Linked DNA regions of Drosophila melanogaster. Changing the gene in region 3 together with the main gene of any one other region gives a genetic interaction. Each region holds a gene or a part of one and is shown on either strand. Other genes may lie near its edges. The genes, in order: Khc, psidin, Tm1 and stan.

Region 1 (7,379 bases), on a different chromosome or scaffold from region 3:
ACATGATGCGGTTGGTAGTAGTTACCGTGGGCGGGAGGCACAGTTTGATTGCAGTAAATGCACTGGCATCCATGGATATTGCAGCGCTGAACGTCTTGATTTACTTGGTTATAAGTGCAGTAACAACAGTTCGGAACTGGATGGCTGGTGTTATAGTAAGTTTGATCCGAAATCGGTTGAGTGTTGCTGTGTCGATCGGTGGTAGGATTGTTTGCATTGTTCGACAAAGTCCGATCCCTATACTTCTTCTGCAACAGCATTACGTTTAACTGATCCTCGCCTGACTGGCGGCGATTCTTCGTACAGCCGCAGCTTTGATTCCGAACGGAGTCTCCATCGTCGGAGTAACTGCCGGGTTGATTCTGTTGCTTGGCCAACTGGTCTAGAAGTCTCCCGCACACGGCATTATTATTTCGCTTCCAGCTGTCGCAGCACGACTTCTGATTGTCCTCGCCGATTACTTTACGGAACCTGGGCTTCCACTCTCCGCGTTTTTGGGAACATAGTCTGGGACCTGGCCATCTATCGCTGCGTATACCATTGCCGACGGACTCGTAACCATCCCAGTTGTCAGCACCGACGTACACATCATTTTGTTGCGTTTGCGATGAACGCTTTTCTGGGTTGTCTTTCGTGGGACATGAACATGGTTTCCCAGTTCGATACTGTTTGCTATCACTTTTTTGGAATTTATTTGACTGATCCTGTTCCTGATACCGATTAGACATCCTTGGGTTGGTACTGCCGCTTTCTCCGCCTTCTAAAGAGCTCTTACTTCCGAATTGAGGACGACTGCTTTGACCTCTTAGCTCGCACGCTTCACAAGGATCTTCGTCTTCCTCTGGCTTGCAACGAACACAGTACGCAGTGGGATACCACCGATCATTGCCGGACGTAGATCTTTCATGGTGCACACCTAAGAACTCTTCATTTGGTGGCTCAGGCTCTAGAATCATCTTGTAGAAGGTGTACCCGCACCTGGTTTCACTGCAGCTGGGACTTAAAAAAGCTAGAGGCGATATGAATGTGTCCTCCGAAAAATTGGGTGGGAAATGTCCTTCCTTAATGGGACAGTTAGCTTCCTCCTGTGTAAAAATAGAAGATAATGGTTCACTATTCAATATCCAGTGCAAAAACCATCCACTCACCTCCAAGTTTCCCAAGAAATGCAAGTCCTCGAAGTAGGAGTACCTTGGACTATAACTATAACCCTCAATTTGACTATTTCGGATGGCGGCCAATTCCTTGGAGTAGTAGTGCCGCAGACCGAGCACCTGCAGCTCCACCTGGTCAGGAGTCAGGCCGCAGTTCATCCGCCGGGTGATTTGTCGCCAGGCGTCATCCTTCGCAGAACCACTATGGAAACCAGGTGACTTTGGATTCCAGAGGCACTCGTTCGATCGATAAAGTCGGATGAGCTTCTGCGTCTTCTTCAATCGCTCCAAATTCAAATACGACGTAATATCCTTCTGTGCCATCGTGCCCCTCTGTTCTCCACAATCCTTTCCAGCGACTCGGTGATCAATCTTCCATAGCGTTTTCCTATTGAACCTACAGAGGTTGTATGCCTAGTTTGGAGCTATATATTGCGCCCAAGCCGAAATATTTGGACAGGAAAAACAAAAGTGACAATAAACAAGCAATTTTGAATAATTTTTGAATGATTTTTAAACGGTATCGCTTAATTAGGAATATTATATGCCGTTACCATTTTCAAGATCTGCAGGGTGTCTCATACATTCGAAGCTTTTGAGAGTATTAATTCAGTATTATTGTGCAATTAAATGGCGATTGGTATTTAGCTGGGCGAGCAGAACGGTCACACTGGCGCACAGTAGCGAAAATAATAGTCGAATAATAAAATAGTTTTGAGTGCAACTAATTCCGACCTACTAACGTATGCGAGTGCATTTAGCGGCTGCACTTAATCATTCCGGGCAAAAAAGTGCAAAACAGTACGACGCGGAGCAGTCAGAATCGAGGTTGCGCTCCAGCGTTATCGCCATTTGACCAATTCAACTTTTGTGTCTGGTATAACCACAAAATTTTCACTGCATCTTCTTATTTGAGCCGCCCCCAACCCAATTTTCGCGAGTGTGTCGGAATCAGCAGAGAATCGGAACAAAAGGGGCCAAACGGAGTACCAGAATCGGCACAAGCAAACAGTGAACAGCAGATAGTGCGGACGATAGCGAGTCCGTTGATTATCCACGTAAACAGTGAGCTGCATGCGCAGAGGTCGCGCCCAGAGCTGCAGAAATCCAACAATCTCCGCCAGAAAGATCTATCTCCGCCCTGTAAGCAATGTCCGCGGAACGAGAGATTCCCGCCGAGGACAGCATCAAAGTGGTCTGCCGATTCCGACCGCTGAACGACAGCGAAGAGAAGGCCGGCTCCAAGTTCGTGGTCAAGTTCCCCAACAATGTGGAGGAGAACTGCATATCCATAGCGGTATGTGTTCCAGATCTATAGTTTTCGCCAGCCCCCAGTGCCTTTTCCCTATGTGTTATGCATTAATCTCGGCGTGCCGCGCCATGACGTCATGCCTATTAGCGTACATTACCCTTCCCCAAAATTGCCGACCAATTGGAATGCCAGGCGATAAAAAGAGAGAGGCACTAAAGTTACCCATGAATAATTGCACAAAACAAAACTAGATGTACATATACATGTATATGATGAAACCAACTAACTTTACTCCAAATCAATATTGCTTTGCACCAAATTGATTTTCCCCCAGTCGAAAAAGAATAGGGTGTGTAAATCGAAAGAAGCGCGATGACGGGGTGGAGAAATGCCACCCACTAGACGGTTTTCTGCTAAAAGCGGGTGTTCCATTCTTTTGGGCCGCATAAATATGCGCTTTTCTAGTTTCCAGTCCGCCTTCAGTGCTTACCTCACTTACATTTCCACACAAACACATACACACATTGACGGTAGCCCCCGCTCCACTTCCACTCCCCTGTCCGCGCGCCAATGAGTCATGCACGCAAAGCATACAAAAAAAAAAAATATGAGGAAAAACAATAAGAGCAACTTTGGAGGCAATGGAATTTGGCTGTATTGCTTTTATGCCACATGAAATGTTATTGCTTTGTATGCTATGCTGAATTTCCCGCTTTTCCGCCAGGTGTAATCCGTCATATTCCTGGTAAAGCTTGGGCAATTGAACCAGTTCCAAAAAAGTCAGCACTAATATAGTGCCTCCATACACAGACATTATCATTACGCTCTCTCTCTCTCTCTGACTAACTCTATCTATCTCTCTTTCGCTGTGGCTTTCTTCTGGCGCTCGTTATTCACTATTCTTCCCCCTTCCACTTAACATGTCTTAATGCTCATAATTACAATCTGCTTCGCGGCCATGCGTTGAAAATGATTCAAAGGCAGTCAGCGGGAAAAGATCGGGGACAGGGGGAATGAATCTCCGAAAGAAATTTCACCGCAACTGACACCAGTTTATAGCTAATGTAACTGGCTGCTATGTACTAAAGAAAAAAACACATTATACTAAACCTAATCTCCATCGTCTGCAGGGCAAGGTGTATTTGTTCGACAAGGTCTTCAAACCGAATGCATCCCAGGAGAAGGTCTACAATGAGGCGGCCAAGTCCATTGTTACGGATGTCCTGGCCGGGTACAATGGAACGATATTCGCATATGGTCAGACGTCCTCCGGAAAAACGCATACGATGGAGGGCGTGATCGGGGACTCCGTAAAACAGGGTATCATACCACGTATCGTCAACGACATTTTCAATCACATCTACGCGATGGAGGTGAACCTGGAGTTTCACATCAAGGTCTCCTACTACGAGATCTACATGGACAAGATTCGAGATCTGTTGGACGTCTCCAAGGTGAACTTAAGCGTGCACGAGGACAAGAACCGGGTGCCGTACGTCAAGGGCGCTACGGAACGGTTCGTCTCGTCGCCGGAGGATGTTTTCGAGGTGATCGAGGAGGGCAAATCCAATCGTCACATCGCTGTGACAAGTGAGTACTAATTAAAATCGATGGTCAGGACCATTTCAGCCAAACAAGTCTAGGAGTTATTCCAGCATTCGCTCTGACCTCGATTGTAGTGTTTCATGTACCAGATCATCTTTTATAACGATTTATCCATCCTTTCAGACATGAACGAGCATTCTTCGCGATCCCACTCAGTATTCCTTATCAATGTGAAGCAGGAGAACCTGGAGAACCAGAAGAAACTATCCGGCAAACTCTACCTGGTGGATTTGGCCGGTTCCGAGAAGGTTTCCAAGACTGGAGCGGAGGGAACCGTTCTTGATGAAGCCAAGAACATCAACAAGTCGCTGTCGGCCTTGGGCAACGTAATTTCAGCCCTGGCGGACGGAAACAAAACGCACATCCCCTACCGTGATTCCAAGCTCACGCGCATCCTGCAGGAGTCGCTGGGAGGCAATGCACGCACAACCATCGTCATCTGCTGCTCTCCAGCCAGTTTCAACGAATCTGAAACGAAGTCAACGCTGGACTTCGGTCGTAGAGCCAAGACAGTGAAGAACGTGGTCTGCGTTAACGAGGAGCTTACTGCCGAGGAATGGAAGCGACGCTATGAAAAGGAGAAGGAAAAGAACGCCCGACTAAAGGGTAAGGTGGAGAAGCTGGAGATCGAGCTTGCGCGCTGGAGAGCGGGTGAAACTGTTAAGGCGGAGGAGCAAATCAACATGGAGGATCTCATGGAGGCAAGCACGCCCAACCTGGAAGTGGAGGCAGCACAGACGGCGGCGGCCGAGGCCGCTTTGGCCGCCCAGCGAACGGCTCTCGCCAATATGTCCGCATCGGTTGCCGTGAACGAGCAGGCCAGGCTGGCTACAGAGTGCGAGCGTCTCTACCAGCAGCTGGACGACAAGGATGAGGAGATCAATCAGCAGAGCCAGTACGCCGAGCAGCTCAAGGAGCAGGTGATGGAGCAGGAGGAACTCATCGCTAACGCTCGGCGTGAGTATGAGACTTTGCAGTCGGAGATGGCGCGAATCCAACAGGAGAACGAGTCCGCCAAGGAAGAGGTTAAGGAGGTGCTCCAAGCTCTCGAAGAGCTGGCTGTAAACTACGACCAGAAATCCCAGGAGATCGATAACAAGAACAAGGATATCGATGCCCTCAACGAGGAGCTGCAGCAGAAGCAGTCTGTGTTCAACGCCGCCTCCACAGAGCTACAGCAGCTCAAGGACATGTCCTCACACCAGAAGAAGCGCATCACGGAAATGCTAACCAACCTACTGCGCGACCTTGGCGAAGTGGGCCAGGCCATTGCCCCCGGCGAGTCCAGCATTGACCTCAAGATGAGTGCTCTGGCTGGCACGGATGCCAGCAAGGTGGAGGAAGATTTCACCATGGCGCGTTTGTTTATCAGCAAGATGAAGACGGAGGCCAAGAACATTGCCCAGCGATGCTCCAACATGGAAACACAGCAGGCTGACTCCAACAAGAAGATCTCCGAATATGAGAAAGATCTGGGCGAGTACCGGCTACTCATTTCGCAGCACGAGGCACGCATGAAGTCGCTGCAGGAGTCGATGCGGGAGGCAGAGAACAAGAAGCGCACGCTCGAGGAACAAATCGATTCGCTGCGCGAGGAATGCGCCAAGCTCAAGGCCGCCGAGCACGTTTCCGCCGTTAACGCCGAGGAGAAACAGCGGGCTGAGGAGCTGCGCTCCATGTTCGATTCTCAGATGGACGAGCTACGCGAAGCCCACACCCGGCAGGTGTCCGAGCTCCGGGATGAGATTGCCGCCAAGCAGCACGAAATGGACGAGATGAAGGATGTCCATCAAAAGCTGCTCTTGGCGCACCAACAGATGACGGCCGACTACGAGAAGGTGCGCCAGGAGGATGCCGAGAAGTCCAGCGAGCTTCAGAACATCATCCTCACCAACGAGCGTCGGGAGCAAGCGCGCAAAGACCTCAAGGGCCTGGAGGACACGGTGGCCAAGGAGTTGCAGACGCTACACAACCTGCGAAAACTTTTCGTTCAGGATCTACAGGTAAAGTTTAAGCAATCCTATCTATTATTGCTACGTACAGATCTTAAAATGTATTTCCCTTGTGCCAACAGCAACGAATCCGAAAGAATGTCGTAAACGAGGAGAGCGAGGAGGACGGTGGATCACTCGCGCAGAAACAGAAGATTTCCTTCTTGGAGAACAACCTCGACCAGCTGACCAAGGTGCACAAGCAATTGGTGCGGGACAACGCCGATCTGCGGTGCGAGCTGCCCAAGCTGGAGAAGCGTCTACGCTGTACCATGGAGCGGGTGAAAGCTCTGGAGACAGCGCTCAAGGAGGCGAAGGAGGGCGCAATGCGGGATCGCAAGCGCTACCAATACGAGGTGGACCGCATCAAGGAGGCGGTGCGACAGAAGCATCTGGGCAGACGTGGCCCACAGGCACAGATCGCCAAGCCGATCCGGTCCGGCCAGGGTGCAATCGCCATTCGTGGTGGTGGCGCCGTTGGAGGACCATCCCCGCTGGCCCAGGTTAATCCTGTCAACTCGTAGATCCAATCACCACCTGTCGCCGCCCAGTTCAGCTCCGCTTTAAACTAAACTAAATGGATTACGTTATACATACTTAACATAACTGATAATTGCCTTCGCTTAGATGAGATGTGTCGCGATCATGTGCAGCGCTTTAAATATACATACATATAATTTAATTAAATAAATGAAAGGAAACCGGAAATTAACTAAATTTTACAAACCGAAAATAATAAAACCCACAGATATGTAAGGACATCTATATACGTTAAGAGTATTTATAAACTTTTCAAACATAAACCTAAATAAAAGTCGCAGACAAATTAAGGTCTCTTTAGTTTGATTCTTATTGCAGTTCAAAAAAATTATGCCGATTATTTGGCTATTGGTTGTTATTACATCGTCTGCTGTTACAATCGCATGTTGTAACCTGTCCCGCGTGTGTTATGGTGCTCCCAATCGTCTGGAGAATTGACCACCTGCCATTCGTACCACACTTTGGTTGCATCCACGCATCGCCAAAACTGGATGGATATAGTCTGTCCCTCCCTCAGAGTTCTTGGACGCTGAGTAGTAAAAATATATATTAATGTAGCAGTTATCAAAGGCTAACTAATCACATCACACGTACCGTTGCGAAGAACATGGGGAACCAGGAGAACATGCCAGGCGTATGGGTCAGAGGATTGATGCTTAGGCAGATGTCCTTGTACAAATGGGTATCAAAGTATCCGCCGATTCCGTGCAGCACGCAATCTTTATTGACTTTAAATGAAACCGTCTTGCAGCGAGTATTGTCAATATTTTCCGCTCGATTAGGATGTACGAATTCAAACAGAGCCTGCGGCTCGTCAATATGGTAAATATTCTTTAG
Region 2 (7,033 bases), 4.7 Mb from region 3:
ATTAATAGTTGATTTTTAAATGAATATCTAAATTTTAAAGAAAGAAATATACAAATCGGCCCTACATTACTATCAGCTCGGTATTATTTTTTATTATCTATAAAAAGATAACATCGGTGTAGCCCCTGAATCTTTGCAATAATTAAAATAATAACAGTAGAATGGGCAGGAATATATAACATTTAAAGATTATTAAAAATTCCAATACGGACTACATATATTGCACGAAATCGATTGTTGGCTAACACAAAGAGAATGCTGTGCCCATATGGCAGCAATAAAGCTAAGTCAGATTCGCTACTGATTTCGAAATGTGTACTTTCGTTTAATGCTTCCAGATCTATTGGTGGTTTGGGGATGATGTCACTGCTGGTGGTCTCACCGTTGGACAAGCAGAGTATATACACCTGGCAGCCTTGGCGCTGCGTCAGCGAGTAGATCAGCGGTCCGAAGAACATGCACTCGTCATCCGGATGGGCGGTGATCAGCAGGACGCGCTCCATGCACGCCGTTTTGGGCAGCCGGACGCTACGCAGCCGTATTCCGGACTGAAGGGCCTGCTTCAGGCCGCCAGGACTCCGATTGCCATCCGAACTTGGGTTCAGCTCTGCCCCCTCGCCCGACCCGGCATTGCTGGTGTCGTTGCCGTTGTGGTGGGCGTCCAGTCCCGATCCCGATCCGGCTCCCGAGAGCCAGAAGGTGAGCTTGTAGAGGCCCAGGCATACTAGCAAGTACACCGCACAGGCGATCAGTACGTGCTCCAGTGCTTCGGCGGATGATGACCTGATACGGCAGTAGATGGCCTGAGGATTGGGGACGAGCTGCTGCACCTGCTGCTGCAGTTGGCGCCACGGGGATGTCGATGCAATGCTGCTTGATATGCTGGCCACGTACTCGCTCAGCCAGTTAAATCTCATCGCTCATTGCGTCCGGCCAAGGGCAAGATTTTTGGCGAGAAATTCTTCACCAAAAATGGACATGCAGCGCAATTTGGCAGCGAGGAAAAGCGGAAAAGCGGCGATAACGGTGCTCGGGCGGTTACTTAAACTATTTCACTAAGTGGATGTGTTTCTTAATCGGTAGTTTAATACTTCAAAACGTTTGGTTACGAGCCCGCGCGCCGCCTAATCGGCTAATCTCTGCATTTTATTCGAAAACTTTACGCGTTTTCGACTTTCGGGGGCAGCAGCTAGAGATGGGCAACTGGCGTGGTGCGTGGCAGGTGCGTGACTCACGCTGACTCATTCACGATTTCTAATCAACCTGTCCGGTGCGCCGTGCAACTACAAAGCTTAAATTATCTAATTGGCACTCGAATAAATTGATAAACTCTTTTCTGCCATTCATCGTTCGCTGGCAAGCTACCATTCGTGAGAATATATCAGTCCATCTCTATCGCTCAGCTGTTGGACAAAGTGCCCAGCGGTAGGGGTACTCTTGTCACTGTTTTTATAAAATCTTAAGTTTTTTTTGAAAACTTAATCTGAAATATAAAGAATTACAGTTATGAACATTTCTACTTTTTGAAGAATATCAATACTTTGTTGATCATAGATAATAACAAAATTACTAAAAACTACTATTAGAAATTCACTTTTGTACAAGACATATTCTAACCTTAAAATTCTAAGCAGAATGATTGAATGGAATTTTAAAAGTTTCCCAATAAGAGTATCTTGATGGCTTAAATTTGTGATTTGAGCGAAGACCCCTAATGTCGGCATGCTCTTCTCGAAAAATACCAGAAAATACTGGAGAAAATACAGGGGCCGCTCTCTTCTCACCGAATATGCAGTCTGAGGTTTTTTTTATTTTGAATAAAATTTAAAGTCACTAGTTTCTATGAAAATAAGCACATAATTAGCCTACGACCGTGTGATTCGAGTGCCCGAGAGCCAGCCGCCCGTCCCCGACCGCCCAAACACCGAGGGCAACCCAAGGAGAGCCCCCAAACGATTGCAGGAAATTAATCAACGGCAGACGACAGCGTGCCGCAAAACCCAAAAGAGAGCGAGTCTCAGTTCGAGGTGCATGCAGCACGTTGTAATTAGGTTAGCAGCATACAGCAGCACCACATAACACGATAACATGGCACAGCAGCAGGGCATGGACTCGGCCCTGTTCGAGCGGCGACTGCGGCCGGTATACGGTGAGTGTGTTGTCCGTGTCCACGGCGGAATGAGGCGCTCCATGTGCCGGGTCCACAGTCTCACAGACTAACATCCCAATCCTTTGCAGACAACCTGGAGGTGGGCAACAATCGCAAGGCTCTGCAGGAATCCGAGAAGTTGCTACGCAAACATCCCAACCTGCTCTGCGCGCGGGCATTGAAAGGCCTCTCGCTCCTGCGACTGGGACGCTATGACGAAAGCCACGGATGCCTCCAGACCGTTGCCGAGGAGAAGCCCACGGACGACTCCACGCTGCAGGTGCTGTCCTTCTGCTACCGCGAAATGGAACAACGTACGTATGGGTAAACCACCGGCAGGGCTGATGTACTGAGCCCACGTGGAGCCACCGTTTGCTGGGGATTAGGTTCAGTCAAATGCAAGATTGATAACGTACTAAGCATGGTCTAGGAGGTACATTACCTCAAGTAGAAGTTATTTAGGAGTATGATATAACCAACTAGCCATAAACTCTTAAAGCACGAACCTAGTCTCTCGTTCTAACGCGATGAAGAAGGGCACCAGCCATCAGAAATAACTAATTTGTTCACAAGTAGCTCCTGATAGGCTATAAATTATTAGTTTCATTTATGAATTTGACTTGTGAAGCACACTTTTAAGTTATGAAGAACCTTTTGTAAGTTAATATCCAATTTTAAATCTAAAAACGAAATGCCTGTGTGAGGCAAGGACTCATTGTATGTATAGATAATAATTAAGGATTTAGATTTCTCCTTTCAAATGTGTAAAGGTTACAGGCATTCTAGAATTGAAATTTTATAAAAAGAATAGCTTCCTTATCCATGAGTTAAATGCTTGTATATGTATGTATATGTATATACAAAATATTTTAAAGTATAGATTTAAAGATAATATTAATATTTACTTAAGTTATTTAAATACGAAACCATGGTCGATCAAAGGATACAATTTGTTGAGCTTTTTTAAATTCGATTGACGAATACAAAGCAACATTTTTAAGTAAGAATGTTTCTTAGCCACATCTGTGAATCCCCTAGAGACGCCCCTGCTACGCACACGAAGTGGCCACAATTCATATTTTCGTATTTTCTTGGCACGCGCACCTCGCCCGACTAATTAAAATCGCATTCTCTTAGTCGGACGACGAGTGGCAAGTGCGTGCCAACGATCTGAATATATAGATACCTGTACCTGCGAAAGTTGAAATCGCTAATAATATATAAATATCGGCCTCTTTGCAGTGGACAAAATTGTGGAGCTGTACCAGCACGCTGTGAAGCAGAATCCGGGCAACGAGGAGCTCCTCGCCCACCTCTTCATCTCACATGTGAGGGTGGAGGACTACAAGGCGCAGCAGGCGGTGGCCCTGCAGCTGTACAAGGCGCAGCCGAAAAATGCCTACTACTTTTGGTCGGTGATCAGCGTAGTCTTCCAGGGAATCCGTGGACCGGAATCGGCGCTGCCCGAGAAGCGGAAAATCTACTTGGGACTGGCGCAACGCATGGTCGACAAGCACATCAAGGAGGGCAAAATGGAGACGGAACAGGAGGCCTTCCTCTATCTGCACATACTTAAGCTACAAAACAAGTACCAGGAGGCGTGGGAATTCCTTACTGGTGAGCTGTGCGCGAAGCTGTACCCCGGTGCTCCAGTCAGCATGAAGTTCGAGCTGCTCAAGGAGCTGGGAAACTGGCGGGAATTGAATGAGCTGCTGCAGCAGCTGCTGGACGCAGAGTGAGCTTAAACAATAAGTTCATATGTATAACTACGTTTTCTAAGTTTTATTTTTTATCCCCAAGTCGTGATCGTTGGGACTTCTACAAGGAGTATATCCAAAGCTCGTTCGAGCTGCTAAAACTTACGCCGCAGGGCGTGGAGAACGGGGATAAGGACTCTCTGGCCAGGTGTCAGGAGTTCCTTCAGCGCATCATTGACTCCTCGGAGCGCAAGAAAAGGGGACCCTATCTGGCGCGGTTGGAGCTACACCAACGCATGCGAGCGGAGCAATTGCCGGCGGAAAAACTAATCGGTGACTTTGACGAGATGGTCATTGAGTACTTCCGTCTGTTCGGCGACAAATCGTGCTGCACTCACGATATCGCCTTGTTCTTGCCTTCGATCAGCATGAACCAGAGGCAAGCGCTAGCCAGCAAGTTGTTGTTGGAGAGCGGAGTAACCTCCACGTCGCTTCCAAAAAATGTAAGTACGCAAAAATTATAAATTCAACTTTGAGTCTAACGATTGTTGGTATATGATTATTGTAGAAAGAGCAGTTGCAAAAACATCTTTGCGCTCTGCAAATCTCTCGAATGTGCGGATCCCACATGGATCTGCCTGCGGACCACCTGCTTGCCTTCTATACGGCGCTCAAGCTGCACTACGAGCACGGCAGGACTACTTTCGGTAAGAAGTTGCTGGCTACGGAAATGGGACCATCGGATGCATACGCACTGCTGGCGGCAAATGTAATGTACGATCTGAGTAGGCGGGAAAATAAGTCGGATCACCTGTTCGAGGCGCTGTGCCTGCTGCAGTATGTTCTGCGAAACAGTACGAGTAACTTCCACGTGAAACTGCTAAGTCTAAAGATCTACCATCTGTTTGGCTGCCAAGTGGGCGCACAGGAGATGTATGAGTATCTGGACATTAAGCAGATTCAGCTGGACTCCATGGGCTATGTGCACTGCCAACTGTTGGCTCTTGGAGGTCGCTTCTCGGGCAATCGTAACGTGTACGATGCCACCCTAAAGTTTTTTACGAACAGCTATAAGGAAAGGCTGGAATACATTGCGTTAACATATCGCTTTTGCACGTTTTCAAAAATGGAGGAGTTCATGAACTTCAAGGAGCGGTTAACCAACAGCTTGCAGTACGTGGCCTGCTCGGTGGAGGCGCAGATCTGTGACTTGGTTAGTTGCTATGGCAATATCACGCAGAATCTATCCGCATATGTGGCGATGAGTATTGAGCCGGCGGAGGACCGGATCGCTTGGCATGAGTTGAGCGACAATCGCGACTTAGGGGCCATTATCCGATGGGATCCGCTACATGAGGTAGACGCTGCGGAGGAGCGCAGGGAGTCGTTCGACCAGGAAGTTGAGGTGCTTCAAGTACGTTCGCTGATGCTTCGACTCTTTGCCTCTTTCATCGACTTGTACCACGGCGCGGGCTTAAAGGATTCGCCAGCGGGAGCAGAGACGGCCACCTTGGAGCTCCTGCGGGAGTCCTGGACGGGATTATTCCAGAGATTGCGCGTGATGAACTACAAGCCGTTGGCGCAAAAATTTCTAGTCAATCTGCTGCCCACACGTCTTCACCTGCTGCTCGACATGCCATACGAACGTTTCTTTGACGACCTTGCCCAGTTGGTCCTTGACTTGCAGAGCGGGTCGGCAAAGCTGGCCGAGCAGTGCAAGCGGGTGGGTGACAATGTTATTGCGACTATGGAGCTGTGCGTGCAGACCATCAACGAGAGCAACGAAAGCAACGGCATTGACGGTCTGTGGAAGCGGCGAGGTCAGCAGCAGAAAGTGGCAGCCAGTTTAGAGGTAAAATGTTGGTAGTAAAAGCAGGTAATCTTAAATTCACCAATGTTCTTATAACTTTTCCAGATGCTATCGCTGTACGCCTTCCTTCTGTCCGTGTTGAACGACAAGCTGCAGGTAAGCTCAAAGACCAAGACCAAGAAGAAGCCGGTGGAAAACAAGGTGGATGGACCGCAGCCGATCAGCGAGAAGGAGCGCAGCCAGATGTTGCAGGAGCTGATGCGACAGCTGAAGCACAAGTTTGAGGCCTGCGACACGGCCATACGTAAGTGGCTCTAGACAAATCGCCCAAAGATAAACTAAGGTATGATTCTGCAATCCTTAGGCTCCTGGAAGGCGCCCGTTTTGCCACGCGACCTCAGCTCCTTTATGTCTGACATGTCGCTGAAGCCGGAGGTGGAAGCCACGCTCATCGGCGACGTTTCGGCCACCTTTAAGGACTCGCACGAGCTGATGGTCACCGAGCTGCGCAATCTGCTGAAGGACAAGATACGCATGGTGGCCAAGTAGATGCTTCTTTGCTGTGCAAAGGCCATCAGCCAGCCAGTCCGGTCATCGTTGCCCCCACACAATCCAAGTTCATAGTTTGTTATTTAATTTTGTTAACGGATACAACCGACCTCATAATCCTCCTACACTACAATTATCTCGAACACCAGCGCCAAGTCAGCACTTATCAATCACTTTTCGGCATTTCCCTCGTACAACACATAAAAGTTGTAAAATTTTGTAAAACAAAAATTAGAAAAGAACAAAACAAAGAAAAAAGATTGCGTACCGCTTTGCAAGTAAGTCAAGTAAAAGAATAAATTGTAAAAATGTAAACAGTTTGTTTTTTTTTTTAGAATGCTTTTTAGTTAGTTTCATGAAATCTTTCTAGCAAACTTTATATAACAAAGGTCGTATATACAAAGTTTTAGGCTTTAAGCAAAGGTAAAATGTCGCGATCTTATAAATATTATATTATTAAGCATTAGCTACAGTAATCCCCACTTTAAAGGTACTTAGATAGGCAGTCAGTCGTGGATCATTTATATGCTGTTGCGTTTGCAGATGCGCCACGAGATTGTGAATGCGAGCGAAGCTTTTGTTGCAGAGTTGGCATCTGAAGTAATAATAGCAACGTGATAAGTTTTAGGTTTGATTTAGTTTAAAACCGAAACCACTTACATGTGGGGTTTTTCGCCCGTGTGCGTCTTGTAGTGCATTTTAAGGACACTGGCATATGTGAACTTCTTTCCGCAGGTCTTGCAGGCATAAGGACGCTCATTTCGATGGGTTCTGTGGAGGAAATACAATTAATTAGCTAGTCTCTACTTGTAGTTAATTAATAGAGGT
Region 3 (4,739 bases):
AGTTGCTCAGACTGTTTTGCTATTTTACAATGTTTTTCGACGTTTTCTCAAGGGTCTTTTCCATGTCTATGTCTTCTTTGTTTTTTTTTTTCTTTGTCTTTATAAATATATTGATCTAGTTTTCTTGCTTCGAAAACTTTTTGTTTTTAATGAATACAATTACGTCATTTTGTGGGTGTTGTTTGAGTTAATTTTAAAATTTTCATCAACCTCGGACTGGCAAATGTTCTCCAAGATAAGAGAACAACAAAAAATGGAATAAGTAAATACATATATGTATATATGTTGGGGCTATCAAATTGGCTTATATTTATAGGTTTATATTTAAAGACTTTAGTTGCATTCGAACATATAAGATCTCCAACAATTTTGTTGGCGATAAGATTAAAAGGGCGTGATCAACGAGTAAGCAAGCAATCTAGAAGGGCAAATATGCATATCACCAGATCGGAAACTCAACGATTATGGGGAAACTGAATTTCAACCGTTTTCACGTTTGCAATTTAAAAAAGCATGAATCATGGATGCATTTTCTTGCGAGACAGTTACAAAAAAACGTATACTTTCATATGTGACATTTATGATTGCCAGCAAAATGTTTTCCGTTCGCAGACATGACGTTGAAAAATCTATAGAAAGAGCTTTAATATATAGAGCAGAAAATAATAATCTGTAGACCTATGGGGGAAATACGTACGTATAACTACGTGAAACAAGATTTTTTGGCATATCAATAACTGAAAATTAAAAATAGAAGTTGAGAACATCAAAAAGCAAAACAAAACGATCCCCAAACCAATACACTCTCATCGGGAAAAGAGACACGATTGCCTAAGTATTGGATATATTTTGCAATGGGCAAAAACACTGGGTGAAAAGAGCTTTTCAAAATACGGGGAAATATTCAAAAATAGGCTGAAAGAAAGGCATTCGATTCGAAATGAGTGAGCATTACCCATACATGTGCAGCGAACAGGTGAAAGCACCAAGGAAAGGATCGGAAAAGAGAGGCAGAGAGAAAGCGGAGAGAGAGCGCAGGCGCCGGGCTTGAATGTGTGTGTATAAATTGTAACTGTATTTGAAATTCTGATCTTATGCTTTCCGTTACACTGGCAGAAATCGGATAGGAACATAAATTAAATATATTACGGGCTGAGGGGTAAAGAAATGTTGTACAGCTTTCTTAACTGGCATAGCCCATTTCACTTTGGAGTATTTTCTGAATGAAAAAAACATTTAATATAATTTATAAATGAATTTCAAAATTCAAATTTGTAATAACAAAAGTAGCATGAGTAAATGATGATAAATGATAAGTGCGACATAAATTTATAAATACATTAAATCAAAAGTGCATATTAAATGTCCTGATATTAGAAAGCATGCATGATTACATTAAATATGAGTATATAAATAAGAACAAATGCACCCCTTTGTTGATTTCGCGCAGTGTATAAGCTATTGTACCCCGGCCGAGCAATTTACCGATGCTCTTGGGGTAAATTGAGAGCCAAGTGCAGTTCCAAAGTAGGCGCAGACAGCAACAACATATGCTCGCTTTTGGCCGAAAAGTGCGCACTCTCGCACACAGATACTCACGCACACAGGCGCACTAGCGCGGCGGCTCACACGCACACACACCAGCGCAAGCCGCTCGAAATCGACCAAGCGGCGAGCATCGAACGTCAACATATTGAATAAATATTTTCAGTTGAACATCACAATCCGTTCAAGTCGCGGATAACTCCGAATAAAAGTTTTGTAAGTAAAAAGGAATACGTTATCGTTGATCAGTAAAAAATTATACAAAAAAAAATACAAAGATATCGCTGAATATTTCCACAAAAATACTTGTCGAGTGCTTCAAAAATAATTTTAACTGTGCTAGAATTCGATTCTTATTTAAAAAAAAGGATCGAACCAAAAAGTATAATTACATAACCACAACGTTGCTGCAATATCTAACTTAAAATCCACCAAAGTGCTGTGCAATTCTCAACCCTAATCATCCGCAAGTATTGAAAAAAATTGAAAATTTTCCCAGTTAGAATCGAAATAAACCCAAATAGAGGTTAAGCACCTTTGCAGATCGCGAAAAAAAAACTAAGAATAACGATTCTGGGGACCTTGTCAAGTTTGTCTGCTAACCGCAAGTTGCTATATAGGGTTTCAGCTAAACGTATTTCATGAGATATATAAACATGGTCAGTGGGAACTTCGAACGATCTTAGATTTTAGCGGCAGAAGTAAAGAATTAAGGCAAAAGGAGGATTATCGAGCTCTCTTTCCTCCTTTCAGAAACTAAAATTGTCATGTTGTATATGAGAAAGTAAGGGAATCATTCTTAAGATAAAGATCAATGAGATAGACTTCAAGATAGCTATCCTTGCTATGGAATGGTTTCCTGAATTATAATTTTCTTTAATCCAAAATGTTTAGGAATTCATTGAGCCTATTTTCCAAGTAACTGGGCAACACGCGCATTTACTTTGCAGTTTTGTATCTTTGAAATCTGATCCACGACCGCTGGCCCTAGCTGCCAAATGAATCTGAAGCGAACGTAGGCGAAATGCGCCAAGAATTTCCCAGAAAGCTCCCTTCCTCTCAGCTTAGTATTAAGTAATATCCGTGGAGAGGCTAGATATTCAACAGATGCCTCGGCTGTCCTATTTTTAGATACAATCCGTGTGTGCTACAGATACTAAACAGTGAAATAGAGAGCAGGAAAGCTGCTAGAGTATCGCCCAAGGCATTTGGCTAAAGAATCTATATGCATTAGACCCATTTGAACCAACGTGTGTATATATCGTACTCTAAGAATAGAAAATTCTGTATTCTGTATGATTAAATTCCGAATTTTCCATGCGATAATTTGTAAATTTTGTGTGGAAAGGTAGATCTTATAAGGTCGGATACAGATGGAAAATATCTGTAACTTGTAAACTAGGCAGAAAAGTAGGAATTGCGAGGTGCCAGTTCATAAGGATGGCTTGTTAGTTGGCCATAGTTAGTTAGATATAAAAAATGAGTTATACATATACGCATTTTGTTTCCTGAAATATTAACTTTGTTCCTAATGATAACGTCATTTCTTGATAAGGATGATCTTAATACTCATAAACCTCTTTGGTGTAGGCCCATTTTTCGATTATATATATGTCATTGCCGAAAGTTATAAGATGTCATGGGAATTTTGTGCTGAATCAACGCAAACATAACTCAATGTGTCACCTTAATCGACTTATGGCCCATACACATGCAGATTTATATATATATATATATGTATATCTGTGTGTTTTTTAAGCGAACAAAAAATTTGCCTCGATTGCGTTTTCATTAAAATTCAACGTTTTTTTTTTTTGGCTTTGGCTTTATTCGATTGGCGCTTTTTTCTCCAATGCCACTTCTCTTCGGCGGATCAGGCACAGGAATGTAAACAGAGTTTTTAAAAATAAATGCATGTTTAAGGCAGAACCACACAACAAATGACAGCGATGAGCCGTAATAAAGAATTAAAATTTCACGCGGCGAAATTCGAGTCAATTAGCCGCCGGCTGCACTCGGTTCGAGCCATGACAAATGTTGGTCAAGTGGGTTTCGTGTTGGCCAGGAAAGGCAAAGGGGGTGTCAATGGGCACCAAGGAGGGGCCAAAAAACCCACCAGCTGCGTTCACATTGAGTCAGAAGTCTGGAGCTGCTCGAGAAAAGGGGCAATAGCCCAGTGCAGCTGAGTGATTCATCTTGGGTTTTTAATTCGAGGATGGTAGCTACAGCATCTGCACTTTACTGATAAGAATGCAATTCCAAGATAAAGCGCACATTTGTAAATATAAATTGATTTGAGTAAACATATATGGCACCTAAGAGTATGCAATGATATATGTTAGTTAAAAAAATATATTAAATGAGCTTACTATCATTTCAAATCCTCATTCTACTTTCGAAGATTTAGAAGACTTTATCTATGCAGCAATTTCTTGGCCCAGATTGGAATCTACTGACACAATTTTGGCTGGTGACAGAACTCTCTATTCGAGAATGTACCCAGTTCGTCCAGCTTCGTTTGGCTCCACACCACGCGATCCGATGTGATCTGCATAAATAAACACCCTGCTTTCGGTGTTTCGAAGTATATCCCAGAAAATAAGGTTCAATTTTAGGTATTCTCGTTTAAATGATTTACTGTGACGAGATGAGAAAACACTCTCAAAGTTCAGAACATCAGCGAAAGAATCGGACAATAAAAGTCGTGAAGAGACGCCGTCGAAATATTAAATTCTCAATTTATCAGTTGGCTAAGCTCGAACAATGCGACTGACTGGCATCGAAAAGGGGGCCTTGGTTGTTTCGGTTTTGGCCAGGCCGAATAATTTATTGACTCTGCCACCTTTCGTCCAAAAATGGCTATCCATTATTGCAAAAAACTCGCTGTGTAGCTTGAAATGGAAGAAAGATCTGCCAGTTATTTTGATAACATGCAGATAAGATGGGAGCTTTAAAGTTATGAATTTAAATACATATATGTGCAGAAATCAGATTGCAGGATCCTCATGTAAATACACAAGTTATAAAATTGCTAAATTAATCATAAAATGCAAATGCATTTTCCATATAGTTTCACTTTCGCACAAGCCATGTTTGGACTTGAATACTACTCCCCTTGCACTTGCTGATTATCGCATAAATCTGCTAATTGCTTTATTGGCTTGCACTTAACCATGGTTTTAGCCGCAATCTCA
Region 4 (5,000 bases), on a different chromosome or scaffold from region 3:
AACCAACCTCCCATCTCATCCTTGCGCACATTGAGGTTCAGTGAAGCGGCAGCAAAACCCCTTCGCCTTCCTCCCCTTCCTGCGTTTTTATATCGCTCGCAGGCGGCACTTGCATAAACCAAATGCAGAGACAAGTGTCTTCGTCCTGCAGAGAGAGAAAGATGTGGACACTATGGATGGATAGCCACTCAATCCAAACAAAAATGTGCCACATAAACAAGAAGACGCTGATACGTTGAGTGCATTTTACATATTTTTTTACTACTCTCAGATTGTTTATTTATATTGAATACAAAAATCGGACTTTGCTTATTTAAACAAAATTCCTCGAAGTGATATTTTTCCAAGTGTTTGGCCTGCTTGGCTGGACACGCTGAATCGTGGAGGTTTGGCCTTGTTCCCTCCTGATAACCCATCTTCCAACTCCGATCTCCGAAAAGGGCTGCCGGCTTTCGACGTGTGTCAAGTGTGCTGCATTTGTTTAATGCCAGCGCTCAGTAATTGGAAAGCATGTCGAACATGTCGAATTTATTGCCCCGCAAAAAGCACACAGATACAAATTGAAACGGTTACAGATTACGGATGCAGCTAGCTACACATGGCCACAAGGTTACATAGACACGGATACAGATCAATGGGGGAATTCAGAGCATTCCGAGTCAATGGCTTGGAAGAGCCTCAACCAAATGCAATTAATCAAACGCAAGGGGCCAATGTCAATTACATGCAAGAAACCCCCATTTCGGTCTCCTATTCTCCTATTCCTTCGATTCCTCCCAAAATCCCTTCGATTCGTTGCTATTCGGAAGTATTCGGACCACGTCAGCTGGCCAAATGCGAGTTGTTGGCCAAACGACGATGTCTTGGCCAACACCTTCCTGTAAGCTATAAATTCCGCCGACACATACATACATCTACCAGCGTAGCCATTACCCACGACTGTTGTCCTTGTGGGCCAAAAGCTTGTTCGGTTTCTGGGTCCCAGCATATGTTTATCACTGCTGCCGAATTCTGCCAACCAAAATTGCATTAAATATTTTGCATAATTCGATAAACTGAAATCTAATCGAATGGCAAGCAGGAACATGCGAATTTCTGGCATACCTATGTATAGATCCCAATTGGAATAATGATTCATCCCTAATGGCTTCGTAATTGAAACTATTCACTTAACAGCTCTTGACACTTGAACCTCATCATAACATGGAAAACGGTCATTTGGTCGGTTTTAATGGTGTACTACATTTTTGGTTTTGACAGTGAACTTTTAGCATATTATGTTTCTGAACATAAATTGCGTTGATTTAGACTATCGCTTAATTATGCCAAATAATATGTTTGTTTGTTTATTTAGTTTTCAAACCAAGGCGTTCAACAGAAAATGAATTATTATTGGTGGGACACAAAAACTAGGCTATATGGAATATTATTTATTAATATTAACAAATGAATACACCACATGTAAATTTATAAGTTAGCAATTTTATGTTCAAGTTTTACCCGTAAGGGATAATGTTCCACCATCTTTAGATTCGCAAACTAATTCCGATTACAGGTGTTGGCCCGATGCACAGATAACACATTTATTTAACATTTATTTAATAAATAGTAGTAAAATTATATAAATATCACATTTAATAAATTGAGTCGATTTAAATCTTTGAGCATGCAAAGCGTGCTGCAAAACTAATTTACTGATAAGAAAAAGACTTTCGAAGTTTCCAAAGATTGAATATCCTACAGGTTGAAGAATCCTGGATCAAATTGCACGTTTTTATGCTCGGGGATGCAAACCGAAATTTGGTGGCACCTCTCTCTGCTGCCGCAACATGTTGCAACAGTCGCGGCAATGTTGCTGCAACACGCAGTCACCCCCCGCAGAAAATCCACCACCGACGAAAGTATCCATCGGATACACGAACTCGCTTCGGCTTCCAACTGAGTTTTAGCAAGAAACTCAGTTTCTGTTTCTGGTTTTGCCAGTTACCACTGCGACTCCGGACCGATTGGACGCGTTTTGAGCGTTTGGCCAGCAAGAACGGTATTATTTTTCACTCGGGGCTACGCGTGCGCGTCTCTGCAAAGTCAAAAGCAAAGACAAATGCAAAGGCAAGTGCAAAGCCAAAAGGCAGAGGTAAACGCAAACCCAAAGTAACAACTTCGACGGTCGAAATTACCGGTTTTTCGCCAACACAACATACAACAATCCTCGCTCTCAGTGAATTTTAGCGCGCGGTCTTTTCTTCGCCTGCTGTTTTCAGAAAAGTGCGTTGGCTTTTCCAACAACCACCCCCTTTTTTTAGCCGCCCAGCTTAACGGTCGGGGTTATAGTCGGTTTAGCATTCGAATTATTCGAATTTCCCGGAATCAAAATAGTTAAATCAGTTTAAACAGTGCTCTAGAGTGAGGCCAGTCACACAAACTGGCGAGTGCTAATTATAATATATTGTGTTAATAATACAAACACAAGATTCACGCAGAGGAAACAACACGGATGCGCGATTTTAAATGCAATATTATAAATATTTAACAATGCAGCCGTGCAGCTAAAGCGGATTATTGGCCACCCACGCGTGGAAATTCAGCGGCAGAGCAAACAAAAGCCTGTAAGTTCACACGTTCCAGCCAGGATATATCAAGGATATGTGCATGTGCTCGCGCATATACATATGTCCTTGTGGGCGGGATGCGGCTGCATTCTAATGGGAATTGTGCGACGCATGACACCTGATTCATGACGTATGACAGGTGTCGTTCCAACAGGACACTATATGTTCCGCAGGCGTGGCCTTAAATCTCTTAGATAAACTTCGTATTTAAGGGCTTACGCCATAGCGGAATCGCGTAATTCATATTTTCAAAGGGTTATAAGCTCTAGAAAAGTATTTTGTATCTGCATATAAATGGGGGCCTGTATGAAATATTGCTAGAACCTTTATTTGTTATATGATATGGAAAGACGCTTAGTGGTTCTGGCTACCTCTGAAATGTTTCGATTTAAGACGTTCTTAATTAACGGCTTTCAGCTCTAGGGCTTCGGCAATAAAATAGAGCTCCAATTGGGCCTTTAAACCTAAGGCCTCTTTCTTGGCCATCTCCAATTAGCAGTTGGCCCAAACAGTTGGCCGATGGCCGAAGTCGAAGTCGAAGTCCGACGCTCACACAGTGCAACTGTTAAAGTTCAGAGCCATCGCAAAAAGATACAAACGCGAAGCTCTAAACAAACATTAAACTGAATACCAAATGAGACAACAAAAGGAGGAAGCACAATAAAAGTCACATTAAAACGTGGGTCAAAAACGCGGAGAGCGCGAGGAGAGAAAGGAGAAGAGTTGGGTCAAAACATAACCGAAATCGGAATCGGGGAATCGTGGAATCAAATGCCTGCACGAGATACAAATGTATCTGTATCTGAGCGTTGCAAGTGCTTTGTTTTCCCTGCATTTCACACTTGTCCATGGGATTTTGCCTTTGCCATTGCGTTTGTATCTTTGTTTCTGCGCCCTTTGTCTGGCGCATAAATATTTCAGCAGGCCGGGACAAACTTATCTGCTGGATACATTATTCACTCGACTCAGTTTTGTCGGATTGCCAATTTATTAAGATAGATTTTATTTTCGAGGCCATTAACAGGGCCTTTGTTATATTTCGATGGGGGCCAGATACTCTCGCACATTTATGTTTTATGATTTTCTAGTTGGAATGCGGTGTGTTTGGTGCAATTGGAAGAGTCAAGTCAAGTCCATTTTGAGCCTGCCAGTGGCAAGTAGCTGAAAAATTGTTGTAAGACTGGTTTTCTGCTACTGCTCCTCGTTCGACCCCTTTCTCCCTGCCTCTCTCTAGCTCTCTCTGTCTCTCTTTCTCGGCGTGTTACCAACCTTTTCCCATTCTTCTTGCGGCTGGTGCAGAGAAAAAAAAGTTATTTACTTAGGTTAATTATGTGATCCAAGTTTAGTTACACACAAAAACATCAAATGTCGTTCTATTATATTTTATAAGACGATTAATATTAAGAGTTAAAGGCTTAAGGTGTTATCCTTTAATTTTTACAATAGGCTGTTTTCTTGAAATATGTGTAGAATGAGTTTAATCCATTTATATTTGAAATCAAATAATTGCGGATATAAAGATTAAGTTGTAGTAGAGGAATTACTTGAATAAAATTTAAGAAAAAGTAGGTAAATAAAATATTTTACCGTGCTTAAAATGAGTTTGTTAGCGCCTGGCTCTCTTCGCGGTTTTGCAGCTGTCTCGGCCAGGTTAGGAGCAATCCACCACCGGCAGGCAGATCCGCTACGGGCCATCATCCTGACCAGAACGCATCCTCTTCTTCTTCGGTAGCCGCAACCTGTTTTTCATTGGTTATGTTTTTTGTTTTTTTGAGTTCGAAGTGATCAGTTAAGACTTCAGTTGGCCAAGGAGCCAACGAAAAAGGTGATTTTTTCCGGCTTCTGATGCCACATTCACTGCGAATAGCCAACTCGCACGGCGAACTAACCTCAGTCAATCCATTCGATATCCATGCCGGCATAGGAAAACTCGTTATGACTCTTGATTAATTAACATTTGAATGCTGTCTCGTGCCAGTTAATGTGGCTGATTTGTGACCGGCTTGAGTCCATCAAAATATCAACAGTCTATTGTGGAATTTATTACAGAATCAGAGGGCCAATGGCCAAATGAGATTTGCATGGCATGGAGTTGGACGAATTCGTGTGCACACACCAGAGATTCATTGATGACGTTGATGGTCCACATTTTTCGGTATCTTTTGTGGGTTTATGGTGGCCTCTCTTGGCCACTACTCACACGGCTATCCATGAGATACTTCTGCGTAGGCATCGGCCCTCTTGGTCGCGCACTCAAAACTGGTTTCGGCCACATTCAAAATTGTTATGTTAGAATAAAAGCTTAATTGATGCATATACACACGTACGGTTCAGTTTTATACGGCAGCAGTGGTCCGTAGATACAGCCGAAAAAAAAAACAGTCAGATACA

The links.
Region 1: of Tm1 (region 3) and Khc, changing one suppresses a phenotype caused by changing the other (phenotypic suppression), as found in Drosophila melanogaster (one study listed by BioGRID).
Region 2: of Tm1 (region 3) and psidin, changing one suppresses a phenotype caused by changing the other (phenotypic suppression), as found in Drosophila melanogaster (2 studies listed by BioGRID).
Region 4: of Tm1 (region 3) and stan, changing one enhances a phenotype caused by changing the other (phenotypic enhancement), as found in Drosophila melanogaster (one study listed by BioGRID).

The regions. Positions count from the first base shown.
Region 1 is NT_033778.4:16,266,411-16,273,789, reverse strand, and holds Khc (kinesin heavy chain), read left to right. Parts: upstream 1-1,818; 5' UTR 1,819-2,304; coding exon 2,305-2,451; intron 2,452-3,536; coding exon 3,537-3,996; intron 3,997-4,134; coding exon 4,135-6,014; intron 6,015-6,085; coding exon 6,086-6,526; 3' UTR 6,527-6,830; downstream 6,831-7,379. Other genes in the region: CG33017 (uncharacterized protein), read right to left, coding at 1-1,085, 1,149-1,478; csul (capsuleen), read right to left, coding at 6,916-7,071, 7,137-7,379. UniProt on the Drosophila melanogaster protein: Kinesin is a microtubule-associated force-producing protein that may play a role in organelle transport. Milt and Miro form an essential protein complex that links Khc to mitochondria for light chain-independent, anterograde transport of mitochondria.
Region 2 is NT_033777.3:20,019,966-20,026,998, forward strand, and holds psidin (phagocyte signaling impaired), read left to right. Parts: upstream 1-1,738; 5' UTR 1,739-2,088; coding exon 2,089-2,149; intron 2,150-2,238; coding exon 2,239-2,463; intron 2,464-3,391; coding exon 3,392-3,884; intron 3,885-3,949; coding exon 3,950-4,349; intron 4,350-4,414; coding exon 4,415-5,698; intron 5,699-5,761; coding exon 5,762-5,960; intron 5,961-6,020; coding exon 6,021-6,205; 3' UTR 6,206-6,517; downstream 6,518-7,033. Other genes in the region: PIG-L (phosphatidylinositol glycan anchor biosynthesis class L), read right to left, coding at 383-917; CG4424 (uncharacterized protein), read right to left, coding at 6,662-6,800, 6,866-6,976.
Region 3 is NT_033777.3:15,279,843-15,284,581, forward strand, and holds the start of Tm1 (tropomyosin 1), read left to right. Parts: upstream 1-1,707; 5' UTR 1,708-1,761; exon of another isoform or gene 1,762-2,015; intron 2,016-4,739. UniProt on the Drosophila melanogaster protein: Tropomyosin, in association with the troponin complex, plays a central role in the calcium dependent regulation of muscle contraction.
Region 4 is NT_033778.4:10,671,364-10,676,363, forward strand, and holds the start of stan (starry night), read left to right. Parts: upstream 1-1,981; 5' UTR 1,982-2,606; intron 2,607-5,000. UniProt on the Drosophila melanogaster protein: Involved in the fz signaling pathway that controls wing tissue polarity. Also mediates homophilic cell adhesion. May play a role in initiating prehair morphogenesis. May play a critical role in tissue polarity and in formation of normal dendrite fields.